Linked DNA regions of Rattus norvegicus. The protein of the gene in region 2 interacts with the protein of the main gene of each other region in a pairwise test. Links are inferred from orthologs where the notes say so. Each region holds a gene or a part of one and is shown on either strand. Other genes may lie near its edges. The genes, in order: Arl2 and Tbl1xr1.

Region 1 (5,796 bases), on a different chromosome or scaffold from region 2:
CTCCCAGACCGAGGGGTACTCCATGTTATTAATCATCAAGTCCCAGGACCCGGCTAGGTCTTGTCACACAGCAGGAGCTAATAATAGCTGTTAATACCAATTATTAGCCAGGCATGGAGGTGCATGCTTGAAATTCCAGGCAAGAGGACTGCTGCTGAGTTTGAGACCACCCTGGACTACAAAGTGTATTCTAGAATAGCCTAGGCTATAGAAATTGTATCAAAAATAAATAAAATAAGATGGGGCCTGGGGGTGGAGCTCAGCAGAGCTGCCTAGCATGCACAGCCATGGGAGCGAACACTAGCACTGCAGAAACCGGACGTGGTGGTACACACCTGGAATCCCAAGTGCTCGGAGGTGGAGGCGGAGGCAGGAGGATGAGTGAGTAGTTCAAGGTCATCCTCGGCTTCCTAGTAAGTCTGAAGCTTCTAGGGCTGTCAAGACCCAGTTTCAAAAAAACAAAACAAAACAACAGTAAAATCAAAATAATAAAGTCCTAAAGACCCTTCAGCTTTACTCAGTGGACCTGAACCAGGGCCTGACTCACCTCCTGAATAGCATTACAGGACAGTGCTCCAGGCAGGTCCTGCTTGTTGGCAAAGATGAGGAGGGTCGCTCCAGCCAGGCGCTGGGGAAAGAGAAGATGGGTTGGGGGTGGGGGAAGCTTCACATAGAGCTTGATCCCTTTGGTATAAGACATGAGGTTGGTGGTCAGTAAGAGAGCTCCAGGCTGTGGAGGAGGCCCACAGGGGGCAGGCAGTAGACAGGGCTACTGATGCTACCACACAGTGGGTATCTCTCTCTTCCAAGCCTCAGGAAGAGGATGTTGCCCACAATGATCCCCAAGCCCTCTGTAGCTCTGGCCATGTGCAGAAAGCATAGGTGTGCTGAGGGCTGCCCTGGGGACTGGGATAAAACAACCTGCCCTGTCCTCCCAGTTCACAGAATCCTTGTGTTTTACTTCCAGCAGACGGCCCTGTTGGTCTCTCTACTTAATCCCCTTGGTGTGCTAGTCTTTGGAACCTCTCCTGGTGCAAACAGAAATCTAACTTCTGGGCCTAGCCCTGCTGAGCCTTGACTCAGCCTCTGACAACAATGACCTCTCTAGACCTGTTCAATGCTACAGAAGGGGCTGAAGTCATACCAGGGGCATGTGTAAACCTAAAGTCCCATGCATCCCTGTGGTTCCCATACAGCCATTAGCAACTCCCTCTTACTCTCGCAAAAGTGCCCTGGCCTTCAACTAACTGAAATGTGGCAACATGATCCAAGTTCCAGGGCAGACAGAGCAGTGTCCAAATAAAACTAGCAGCTGAAGGTAACAGTAATGCCTGAGCATGGCTAAGGGGTGCCCACTGTAAGCCTGGCATTCAGGAGGCTAAGGCAGGAGGAGAAAGAGTTTGGAGCCAGCCTGGACTACATAAGGAAACCTGATCTCAAACACCTACCCCAACTCTGCTGCCAAACAAACAAACAAGCCCAAAACCAAAACACCTGCCCAAACAAATGAGTAGCCAACAATGAAGGAGTGTGGCACGCACGTCATTTGGGAAGTAGAGGCAGGTGGACCAGGATTTCAAGGACAGTGTTAGCCAGTTTGGGCCAGCCTGAGATGAGTAAAACTCTGTTGTCAACATAACAAGTCTTTCGATCCAGACAACAAATGGCAAGATTGGCCTAATCACTGCTTTAGGAATGTGGGAGTTAAGGCTCAGGTTAAGGGTCTTCCAGAAGCCACACAACAAGGTTAGATTCCTGTGTAAGCTTCACTGCCCCCCTGAGCATTGCTGGCACCCTAGCCTTGAGGCCCCTGCAGCAATGGGACTGAAACTCAGGGAGGTGGGAGGTGAACCAGTAAAAGCAGAGATGTGCGTCTGTCCAGGTCTCAGCTCAGGGCCCACTAAGTGAGTGGACCCCTACCTCCCTCCCTGAGTGTCCCAGTAAACCATGGCACTTGTGGCAGGCTGTGGCCTGGCTGCCAGTGAGCACAGGGCACACCTCCTCCACCAGTAGACTCTGCAGCTCTCGCTGACAGTCCTGCATGCGCTGGCGGTCAGCGCTGTCCACCACCCAGATGAGGCCATCTGTGCTCTCGAAGTAGTTCCTCCAGTAGGAGCGCAGAGACTTCTGGCCACCCACATCCCAGATGTTCAGCTTGAATCTGGGAAGGAAGGGACAATGGAGGTCAGGCTGGTCCTGCCCTCCCAGCCTCCTCCCAGCCCCACAATGGCCCACAGTGACCCCACTCACCCCCGGTGCTCCAGGGTCTTGATGTTGAAGCCCAGTGTTGGCGAGATGGTGTCCACATCTTCTCCATTGAACTTCTTGAGGATGGTTGTTTTGCCAGCATTGTCCAAGCCACTGGGGTACACAGGCTAAGGAGATGTCCCTGAGCTCTCCTGGAGGACATGTCATCACCCTACCACTCTCCTAGGGACTGGTATTTCCCTACTGCATGTTGAAGCAAGTTGAGCACACACCTCACCCATAATTGGACTGAGATAAATGTGGAAGTATGAAAATGGAATTCTATCATGTCGGCCATCTCAAAGTAACTTAATTTACACACCAAATATTGAGTGCCTACTAAGTGCCAGGCCCCCTCAGCTGTTAGTGGACAAAGCCACCACCCTTATGAAACACACACTAGCAAAATGACTAAATTAAAAGACCCCCTCCCAGAAAGGGAATTATACAAGCCCAAGGCCCTCAACTATAGAAGTAAAAAATAAGTTTTTAGATATGTGGGACAAGCTGACCCATCATTTAGACGAAACAGACCAGAAAAGAAAACAAAATACAGAAACCAGACTAAATTATGGGCACTGCTCCATGGGCCACCTGACAAGAAAAAGAAAAAGTCCCTGACCCCCCGGAAGCCCTGACCACCATGTACTTTTTGCTAACTCACTGTTATGATTATAGCCAAAATAGGTAACATACACGTATGCCTCATTTACTCCACCAATCACATCCCTGTAACCATGCATCTGCTTCTGTAAGCCTGCTTCTGCTCCCCAATGCCCTATAAAAACCCGTCCCTGGTTCTGCTAGGCGCACCAGTCTTCCAAATTGACTGGGACGCCCACAGATACCTGTGCTCCCTGATCAATAAAAAATCCTCTTACAGATTACAGCCGGTGGACTCGGACTGGTCATTGGGGCTTGAGGATCTCCCTCCTGAGAGAAGATTCTCTCTGAGAGTCTTACATATGGGGGCTCGTCCGGGATCGGAGATCCTCTGCCTAGAGACCACCGACCACCCACCGGGAGGTAAGCTGGCCAGTGTTTGTCTTGTCCTGTCTTGTCTTGCTTTGTGACTTGTTCTGTAAATGCTTAGTTACTTGGCTTGGGTCTAGACCGTTTGTATTTGGGCGGGCCAGAGAAGGAGCTGACGAGCTCGGACTTCTCCCCCGCAGCCCTGGAAGACGTTCCAAGGGTGTTTAGAGCCCGGTTTTTCGGGGCTCAGCCTGTATCGGAAGGATACGTGGTTTTGGGTTGGAGGAGAGAGGAGAGAGCCGGATCCACTGAAGGATCCGGACCCTCGTCACCTCTGTCTGAATTTTTGGTTTCAGTTTGACACTGAAGCCGCGCGGTGCGTCTGTCTGTCTGACTGTTGAAATTGTTTGTCTTCTTTGTGTCCTAATTTTCTTTGAATATCTGTGGAAATTGGTTATAGGATGCTTTGTCTTGGTCTTGTTTGTCTGGTTTGTTTTCTGTGGTATTGTCCAGTGTCTTTTTGGCTTTTGTTTCGTTTTTGGACTTTGGACAGACGACTGTGTTTAAAATCTTGGACTGACAACTGTGTTTGAAATCATGAAACTGTTTGCTTTGTTTGTCAAGGAGTTTTACTTGGTCCTCTTGGTGCTTAACTTGGAAATAATTTGCTTGAGAAAAATTGTTTTCTGCCAGGGAGTTTTATCTTTCTCTCTTAGCCTCCTCCCCAAGGAGAGATGCCCCTCCCTTTGCTCCCCTTGTCCAGTCTAGCTGCTGTTAACAGTTGTGTATGAAGAACTCCAGGTTAGTGAGTGACCCTGTCTGAAGCAGGTATTAACAAGAGCCTGAAAGCTTTACCTTGGATCCTGAAGAAAAATTTCTCCCTGTTGCTTAAACATTCACAGCTTCTAAGGAAGGGAGCCTGCCTTATCTGCTGGCCCTATTCCAAGAGAGGAGTTGATCTCCAACATTAAATAACCTTCCCTGTTAGTCATCATTGACATGGAGAGTGCCTTTGATCCTATCCCCACAGCAGCCAGTTCCTGCCCCTGTGGTCAAAATGCCCCAGGTTGGGGGACAGAGAAGCCCCTGAGATAGTTTCAGAGGGAATCTACAACAAACTGTGAAGAACTTTGTTTTGCCAGTCAAAATTTAGAATTCAAGCTTTGGCTGTGGCCAAGGTCAGTATTAATGTTTTCTTTTCCATGGACCTTTAGCCCACTGAGACAGTTTGGTAAAGGGCTGCTACTGAGGTCCTGAAAGTCCCAGGTGAACTGGTTACAATTCTTTTGTCAGCCACTTGGCATCTAGCACCCAGGTCCTAACCATCTCTCCATCCTTTTGTTATTAGTTCTTAAGTCCAGAGAGATAGTCAGTAACAGATCAGCTCCCTCTCTGCTTGCCGTTCTGTTTCACAGACACAAAGCTTGTGCTTATTTTTACAACGGCCTTTTTGTCCCAAAAAGTCCTCCTGGTTTAGCTGTGTGACTAAATGCTATTTGTCCTCTTCAGTGGACCTCTATTCTCTAGACTGTTACAGGTCTTCTTTACCACTGAGGAAAGACGGAATCCTACTAGAGGCCAAAAAGAATGTTCCAGACATGGATAGAAGACCCTCACTCCTGACTGTTGACTTGAATACCCCTGAAGGTAGGGAGTGCTCCAGGTCTGCCACCAGGCTCCAAGGGTGGGTCTCCGAGGGGCTAAAAAATGCCCCACCAATCTGGCTAAGATAAAAAAAAGATATAAAGAGAGAAAGTTACAGAAATTTAAAGGGTTAAGCTAAGTTGCTGAGAGTTAGTGTAAGTTACAGAAAAAATAAAGTTAAAGTGTAGTTACATAAGTGGACAACATCTAATAGCTGTAGAAGAAGATGCAGAAGGTATGAGAGAGAGACTGAGGAAGAAAAAGAGGAAAGAAGGTAAAAAGAGCAGGAAGCTAAGGAAGAAAAGAGACAAAAGGAAAAAGAAGCTAGAGAGCTAAAGAGAGATAAAAGACAGGAGAGGAATATATACTGGCCACAGTAGTTAGGGAACCTAGGAAGACAGTACCTGGCAACAGAAGAGAATTCCTAGCTAAAGATCAGTGTGCCTATCGCAAGGAAAAAGGACACTGGGTCAGGGACTGCCCCAAGAAGAACAAGAGGGGCCTCTCCAGCAGCCCGGAAGGCAAGTCTCTTGGTCCTAGAGTGCTGGCTGTCCGCAAAGATAGAAGGGAAGCCTGCCCAGTTGTTTTGTGAATACGGGGGCCCAACACTCTGTGCTCCTACGCCCAAATGGGCTAGTGTCCAGCAAAAGACCTTGAGTACAGGGGACTACCGGCAACAAATGATACTCATGGACTACCCGAAGAACAGTGGACCTTGGCGTGGGCCGGGTATCCCACTTGTTCTTTGTGATTCCAGACTGCCCCTACGAGTCTAAACCCTGCAACCCTGCTCCTGGACCCTGACCTAGACACCCCCCTTCATGACTGTCAACAGGAGCTCACTAAAGCACAGGAGTGGCATAAAGATCGGACTGATCAGCCAACAGAGGGGGTAGATGCCATCTGGTTCATAGATGGGAGCAGCTTCTTACA
Region 2 (6,461 bases):
AGTTCTTCAACTATTTTTTTCAGATTGATATAGCTGCTAAGAACTAGCTACAAACATTATGTAAACACCAAAGTAATCTCATCTCCTCTAGCACACCGTAAATCCCGGCTTCTTAAAGATACATATCCATAATAAAAGTAAATCCACTCTAAGTTATCAGTGGGTCAAAAAGAGTTAATGGGCTTAAAAATACTAAACACCTGCAAGTCTATTCCAGATACTGGGAGAGTGACAAGAGAATCAGAACCCATGCCTGCTCTCATCCAGGTTAAATACGCAGATAGGAGGAGGAGGTGTCAGTAGAAGAAAACACTCACACCATGTTTTTCATAAAAATGGTAAAATGGTAATAGTAACAAGAAACCTAAGCGTCACATGGGACGAGCACTACTTCAGTGTGCATGCCTATCTCAGGGCAGAGCCTGATACAAAGAACAAAGCAGCTATGGCAGGAGCAAAAGCATCCCTGGGTACGGAGCTGCCAGGGTTGTTCAGCAGTGCAGAGGGGAATCACTGTGAAGTTTGAGATGTGCAGTCAGGAAAGGTCAGTCCTCGCATACTAAAGAATAACTGTCCCCACTTTGCTTTTATTCACTGTGTTTTATTCTCATTACATTTTTGGTGGTAGTGGTGGTGATGGTGGTCTTAGTGTTCTTTTGTGTGCCATAGTCTTACATAGCCCAGGCTTGCTCTGTAGCCAAAGCTAGCCTTGAAGTTCTGATCCTCCTGCTTCCACCTTCAAAGTGTTAGCATTACAGGTGCAGACCACCGGACCACCATACTCAGCCTTTTTGTTTGTTGGTTCAATTTTGGGGACCAAATCTCACCATGTAGTCCTGGCTATCCGGGACTAACTAAGTAGACCAGGTTAGCTCCTGGTTGCAATCCTCCTCCTGACTCTGCCTTATTGAGATTACAGACTGTGGCCAGTTTGAGGAAATAGAAAAGGAAGGCAACAAATGTCAACAAACATCTCCACAGTGCCACACAGCAGCACATGAAGGTGTTTCTGCTACATATTCTCAAACTCCGACTGGTGGAAAATTTCAATTTACGTAAAATCAAATGCTGAAGACAACAGGAATTTAAAACAGAAAAATGGGGCACTCAAAACCCATACAACTAAGGAGACTAGGCTGATTCCATGACAGGCTTCAAACTGGCAGTTCAGGCGGCTAGGCCTAAATTTGTATCCAAGAACTGGGCAATTCCAGGCAACCCCAGGCCTCAGAAGCTGCCCTACCACCTGGCCTGAGGCAAGGACAATGGGTCAGCAGCATTTCCAGACTTCCCCCAGCAAGTTTACAGCCCCCACAGTCCCCAAGAGAATGTCCTTAGAGATGGGACCCAACAGATTAACATAAGGGTCACCAAACCCGGAATGCCCTAATGTGCTTTAAATCAGGCATAAAAGCTCTATTCTGGTAATGGGAGAGCCCAGCATGCTGGACTTCTGTAGAAAAAAAAAAAAAAAAAAAAACACTCTGCATTTACATACTATTGAGAGTTCAGGGTATCATTCTTTGCCGAATCATGGACCCTTACACAACTTTAAAACAAACATTACCAAAATTAACAATCCAAATTAAAACACTAGTAAAAATTTTAGTGGCTAATTTCTCAGGAGAAAAATGTTTAATTTCAGGTAGAAAAATAAAACCACTGTTTGACTGCTGGACAAGACTTGAACAGAATATCAGAATTGCAGTAAGACAAAAAGCCTGGATCCCTTAGAGTCACCCTAGCACCAGGGAGGCCGATGCTAAGACAGGGACTTAACTACAAATTTAAGGCCAAACTAGTCTACGTATCATTTTCCAGGCCAGCAGGACTATAGTATGGGGCTCTCTCCCAAAAATGAAAAGGGGGGAGGGTGTACCCCTGAAAAGGAAGAATTTAGTAACCTCCTGAGTTGCTCTACTGTTCCTCCTCAGGCAAAATAAGAACGAGGAGAGGGAGGGTGCAGAAGCCAGAGCAGCTGTCTCCTTAACGCCACAGAATTTCCCTGTTTTCCACACCCTGAACCATTCTTTTGAGCTTGTCCTCAAATTTCCACTCTACTTAAACCCATAACAAATATGCAGTATTTTGCAAGGAAAGGAAGTGAGTAAAGTAAATGAGTCTAAGCTTTCCTTTATTCCTGAACTCAGCAGCGTCCATCCTACTACCACATGACAACTCAACCCTCAGGCAGCTTCACACCACAGCCATTAAGTTACAGCATGTACACGTAAGTGTGATGTCATATGGGCATGTGGGCACGGAGTGCTGCCCACCATGCACAAGGGCAGGTCAGAGGACAACTTCGAGAAGTTGTTTCTCTCATTCAACATGTGAGTCCTACAGACTCAACTCAGACTACGATGAGTCTTGGAGGTAAGCAAACTTACCTCACTGGCCAACATCATAATGTTTGCTTAAAGATAACAGTACACTCGTCATCTGACAAAGGAACCCAAGAAAGACAAAGGAGTCATGAAGCACCACAGCCTGCTCTGCACAAGAGCTGACCCAAAAAGGAAAGAGACTGAGAACTGCCAAGTGCAAAAGCACATCCACAAGCAAGCAGAGCACAGCTACAAGGGGTCAATTACCCACCTAAAGGGTACAAAAGGAAGAGCCCAAAGGAACTAACCCCTCCTGACTTCCACCAGGGCAAAGTGTCAGCACAGACTTCTCATTGCAATATCCTTCCTAATTTAAAATTTACTGGTGAATTTCTAATTCTTTGAAAATATCAATGAAGTATTGTGGCAATCACTTTAGTTCATTCGTAGACTGGAAGCCCTGTTTCCTCAAATGCAGATCTGGTTCTGAAGAAATAATCAAGATGTTCCCTTCTGACGTATGATTTGAAAACGCCAGATCCTGACAGCTCACTTAGCTCCTCACCCCACACATTCCTCTACTCCCACATCTCCAGGAGCCCAAGTTTCGGATTATCTAGGAAGTTTGTATCAGTAGCTAAGGATGTGGCCAGCTCACAACTGTGGGAGCTACTTCTATTTCTCCCAACTCTGATCCTCTTTTCTCTTCTATCTGTTTTGTTGCAACTCATAATCATGAATGAAGGAACTCTGCCATCAATCAACATTCGACACAGACCAGAGAAGAAAGTAAAGTTCCTTACATGACACAGCAAGTGACTCAAGGGCTAGCAGGAAACAGAATTAATAATTTGTGCACTGCACAGCCTCAAAGCCCTACGTGTACACCACAGTGAAAGGGTGGGCCACCTAAGGTATATGGTGCTCCAAGAGCTCACAAAAAGACCAGAACCAAAGAGAAATGGTTTAGCAGGGAACCAGATTACAAAGAACAGGGAACCAACATGGCAGACCAGTCAATGACTCAATCAGCTATAACTACTAACCTCAGGTCCAAGTCTTCCTTACCTCAGTTGTGGGAATATTTCTTGTTTTAACAGCTTATCCTAACCCCTCACCTCCCAAAAAAGATTCTAGAGGTGGCCCAACCTACAAAACCAGACACCCGAGCAGATTCGGATAATCTTATACTTTGAACACAATGAGTTGAACTGCTAGGCCACCCTCTTTTCTGGGCTTATACGGCCTTCAAAGAGACAAGGGTCTGGAAGGACCAGAAACCGCACACATCATTTGGAAAGCCTCACCAATTCAGTACGAACAGAGTGCAGTTTGTACTTCACCAGGAGCTCCTGGTGAAACACTGGTAAGACAAGTGTCCTCAGGAAGGCCCTACCTGGTCACAAACAGACAACTGCATCAAGGACGTGTCTGCAGACATCTAGTCTAGAAAAAAGTGACAGCTCACGGACCCCAACACAAGACTTAAGGAAAAAGCCAGGCACACTGACCCACCTATGATGCCAACACTCAGGAAGCTGAGGTAAGAAGATGAGCTCAGGACTAGCCTGGGCTACGGAAGAATGTCATGGGCATGGAACAATAAATATGATCATAATTGATTTGTCTGAGTTCAGAATGTCAACTTTCTTTCTTCCTATCCTGAATACTGATTCTAAACTCATAAACATTGAAAAGTATATTCTATATTATCTCAAATCCACAGTTCCCAACTTCACTGAATTAATAATAGTATTAAATATTATAATCAATTTATAGGTTTAAAAAGAATGGTCATAGGCCATGGAGAAATGAAGCTGGTGACTGGAAGCCTTCTGCCTGCTTGCTCACTGTCATAGTACCGCCAGTTGTTACCCAGGCTGCTGGAGAAGAAACATCTTCAACAGTCTCACTGTGAACCCCATGAGCTGTAGTAATAACTAGCGGGGTTAGGATGTCCCTAGAGGTACAGTAGTGGCACATTATGTTACAAGGGTAGCCAGGGGCTTTTTTCTTTTCTTGTTTTCCTTTAATTGGTTCTAGGGCCAGTTCCACAGGAAGAAACTTCTATCTGGTACTCTAAGGTTGGCCAAGAACCCATGGCTTCTAAACCAGGGGTGAAAATACTATTACATTGCTAAATGAATATAATATCAAACTAGCTCTAGATAAATATCCGTACCCACACATTAGTGCAGCACTCAGACCTTAGGAGACAGCATCTTTGCGCAGTGGAGGATAGTTAATACACGAATGGTCAGAATACAGATCTGTGGAGTATTCAGCCATCTATGGGTCCCCAAAGTTCAGGGAGCATCAAGAATGAGTGGGTAGGGAAAGACTGCGAGAACCAGAGGTTCAGCAGGACTATACTAAACAGTGTCTCTAAACACGAAAGGACTGATGCCCTCACAAATTCTCCGCTGCTGTGGTTGCCTGTGTAAGACTTGCATAATTATCAAAACCAGTCAATATTCCAGTATAGAAGGGCTAATTAGCCCCCACCCCTAAAAGCTGATAATGACAGTTGATGGCTTCTGGGAGAGGGAGAGCCAGTTTTATCTAAGGGTAGATCAGCAATGCTCCACTGGCTGACCCCACACCAATGTGTATAGGAGCAGCAGAAATTGGACTAATTAGGGTAAGAAAAAAAAAGGTGACTTGAGAGAGAGAGAAAGAGGGAGGGGGGAGCACGAGCAAATAAACATGAAGTTGGGAAGTAAGGTAAGAGGTGGAGATACAGGGGGAAAATATAACCAAACCTGGGGGAGGGGGACAAACAAACAGGAGAAGTACAGAAAATGACTGTAGCCCAGCTCCCCCGCACCAACAACCCGTGTGCTTTATTTCAGTTACTTCTGCGAAAACAAACAGCATTGTTTCTTTCGCCCAGTGTTGAATGAAAATCAATGACATCATAGTTTTTCATGGCATTTACATATACATGGGAAATGACTGACCCAGGTGTGGAGAAAATGTGCAACTTATCTACTACGTTAGCAACTTTCCTCTTGAAGCATCAGTGTTAGCAAACACAACATAAAGCAGGGTGTCTGGGACAAACATGGTTTCAGATTCCTATAAGCTTCGCACTTGGCAAGGCATATCAAGGTATCTACTACATAACAATTTGCCAAACTGGGCTACCAGAAAACCTACCTGGGGGGGGGGGGGGATCAACACCAAAAATACCTACATATTTTAAACACAGAAAAACTCTACACTGCCCAATCTTCTTGGCTATACTGCTACTTCCCATACAAAGGCCAGCAGGGGGTGGAGACAGTTTGCTGAGAACCAGAGTTTAGCCTTCAGCACCCACATCAGGCATCTCACAACCATGTGTGACTACAGCTAAGACACCCTTCCCCAGCCTCAGAGGACACTGTACTCACATGCACAAACCCACACTCAGCACAGACACATCATATTTTAAAAACATCTCTTTTAATGTTAGGGCATGAGGCAGCAGCCAGCACAGAGACCTCCTCCTTGCCAGCCCCACACTGACTCCTTTACAAGCATCCTCATTTCAGCCCTCACAGCCAATCCGTGAACAAAGCTATCCTTTACTTCCACTACCAGATGTGCAAACCAACTGGATCACGTGATCTCACAAAACCATCCACAGATAAATAGGAGGGACAGGAATCAAGCCAGCACTTCCTGGAGCTGGGAACATGCTAGAGTAAAGTCTGCTGCCAATTCCAACAGACCCTGTCCAGTCTCCAGTTACCACTGAGAGAGGGCACGGCCTTAGGAAGGCTGACATACATCTTGTCAGTGCCACAGTCTTTAGCATGTATTCAAGTTACTCCAGCTGGGGCTGAAAATGAGGAACACAATAACTGGGAAGCCAGCCCCTGCGTCAGCAGTCTACATTACTAATGGGTAAGTACAAGTGACACAGCTCTAAGTGATAGCAACTGCAACCAAAAGCAGAATAGAAATCTAATGTTTCCATGGAGTCAATACAGTCCCTATGTTATATAAGATCCAGGCAGAATCCACACAGTAACACAATCCTACCAAACCAAAGATTACCACAATACTAAAACCAACTACCAGCCGACGAGAATCGGGTTTCACCTGATTACCAAACCTCTGACAAAGTAGTGCCTTTGAAATAAAAAT

What was found.
Region 1: the proteins of Tbl1xr1 (region 2) and Arl2 interact in binary tests that used the Homo sapiens proteins (3 or more experiments, as listed by UniProt). The two-hybrid records come from large-scale screens. The link is inferred for Rattus norvegicus from reciprocal best matches to the Homo sapiens genes TBL1XR1 and ARL2.

Annotation. Positions count from the first base shown.
Region 1 is NC_086019.1:212,864,342-212,870,137, forward strand, and holds part of Arl2 (ADP-ribosylation factor-like protein 2), read right to left. Parts: exon of another isoform or gene 4,747-5,796; intron 3,274-4,746; exon of another isoform or gene 2,362-3,273; coding exon 2,251-2,361; intron 2,162-2,250; coding exon 1,999-2,161; coding exon of another isoform or gene 1,921-1,998; intron 629-1,920; coding exon 548-628; intron 1-547. UniProt on the Homo sapiens protein: Small GTP-binding protein which cycles between an inactive GDP-bound and an active GTP-bound form, and the rate of cycling is regulated by guanine nucleotide exchange factors (GEF) and GTPase-activating proteins (GAP).
Region 2 is NC_086020.1:106,727,933-106,734,393, reverse strand, and holds the start of Tbl1xr1 (F-box-like/WD repeat-containing protein TBL1XR1), read right to left. Parts: upstream 3,730-6,461; 5' UTR 3,616-3,729; intron 1-3,615. UniProt on the Homo sapiens protein: F-box-like protein involved in the recruitment of the ubiquitin/19S proteasome complex to nuclear receptor-regulated transcription units. Plays an essential role in transcription activation mediated by nuclear receptors.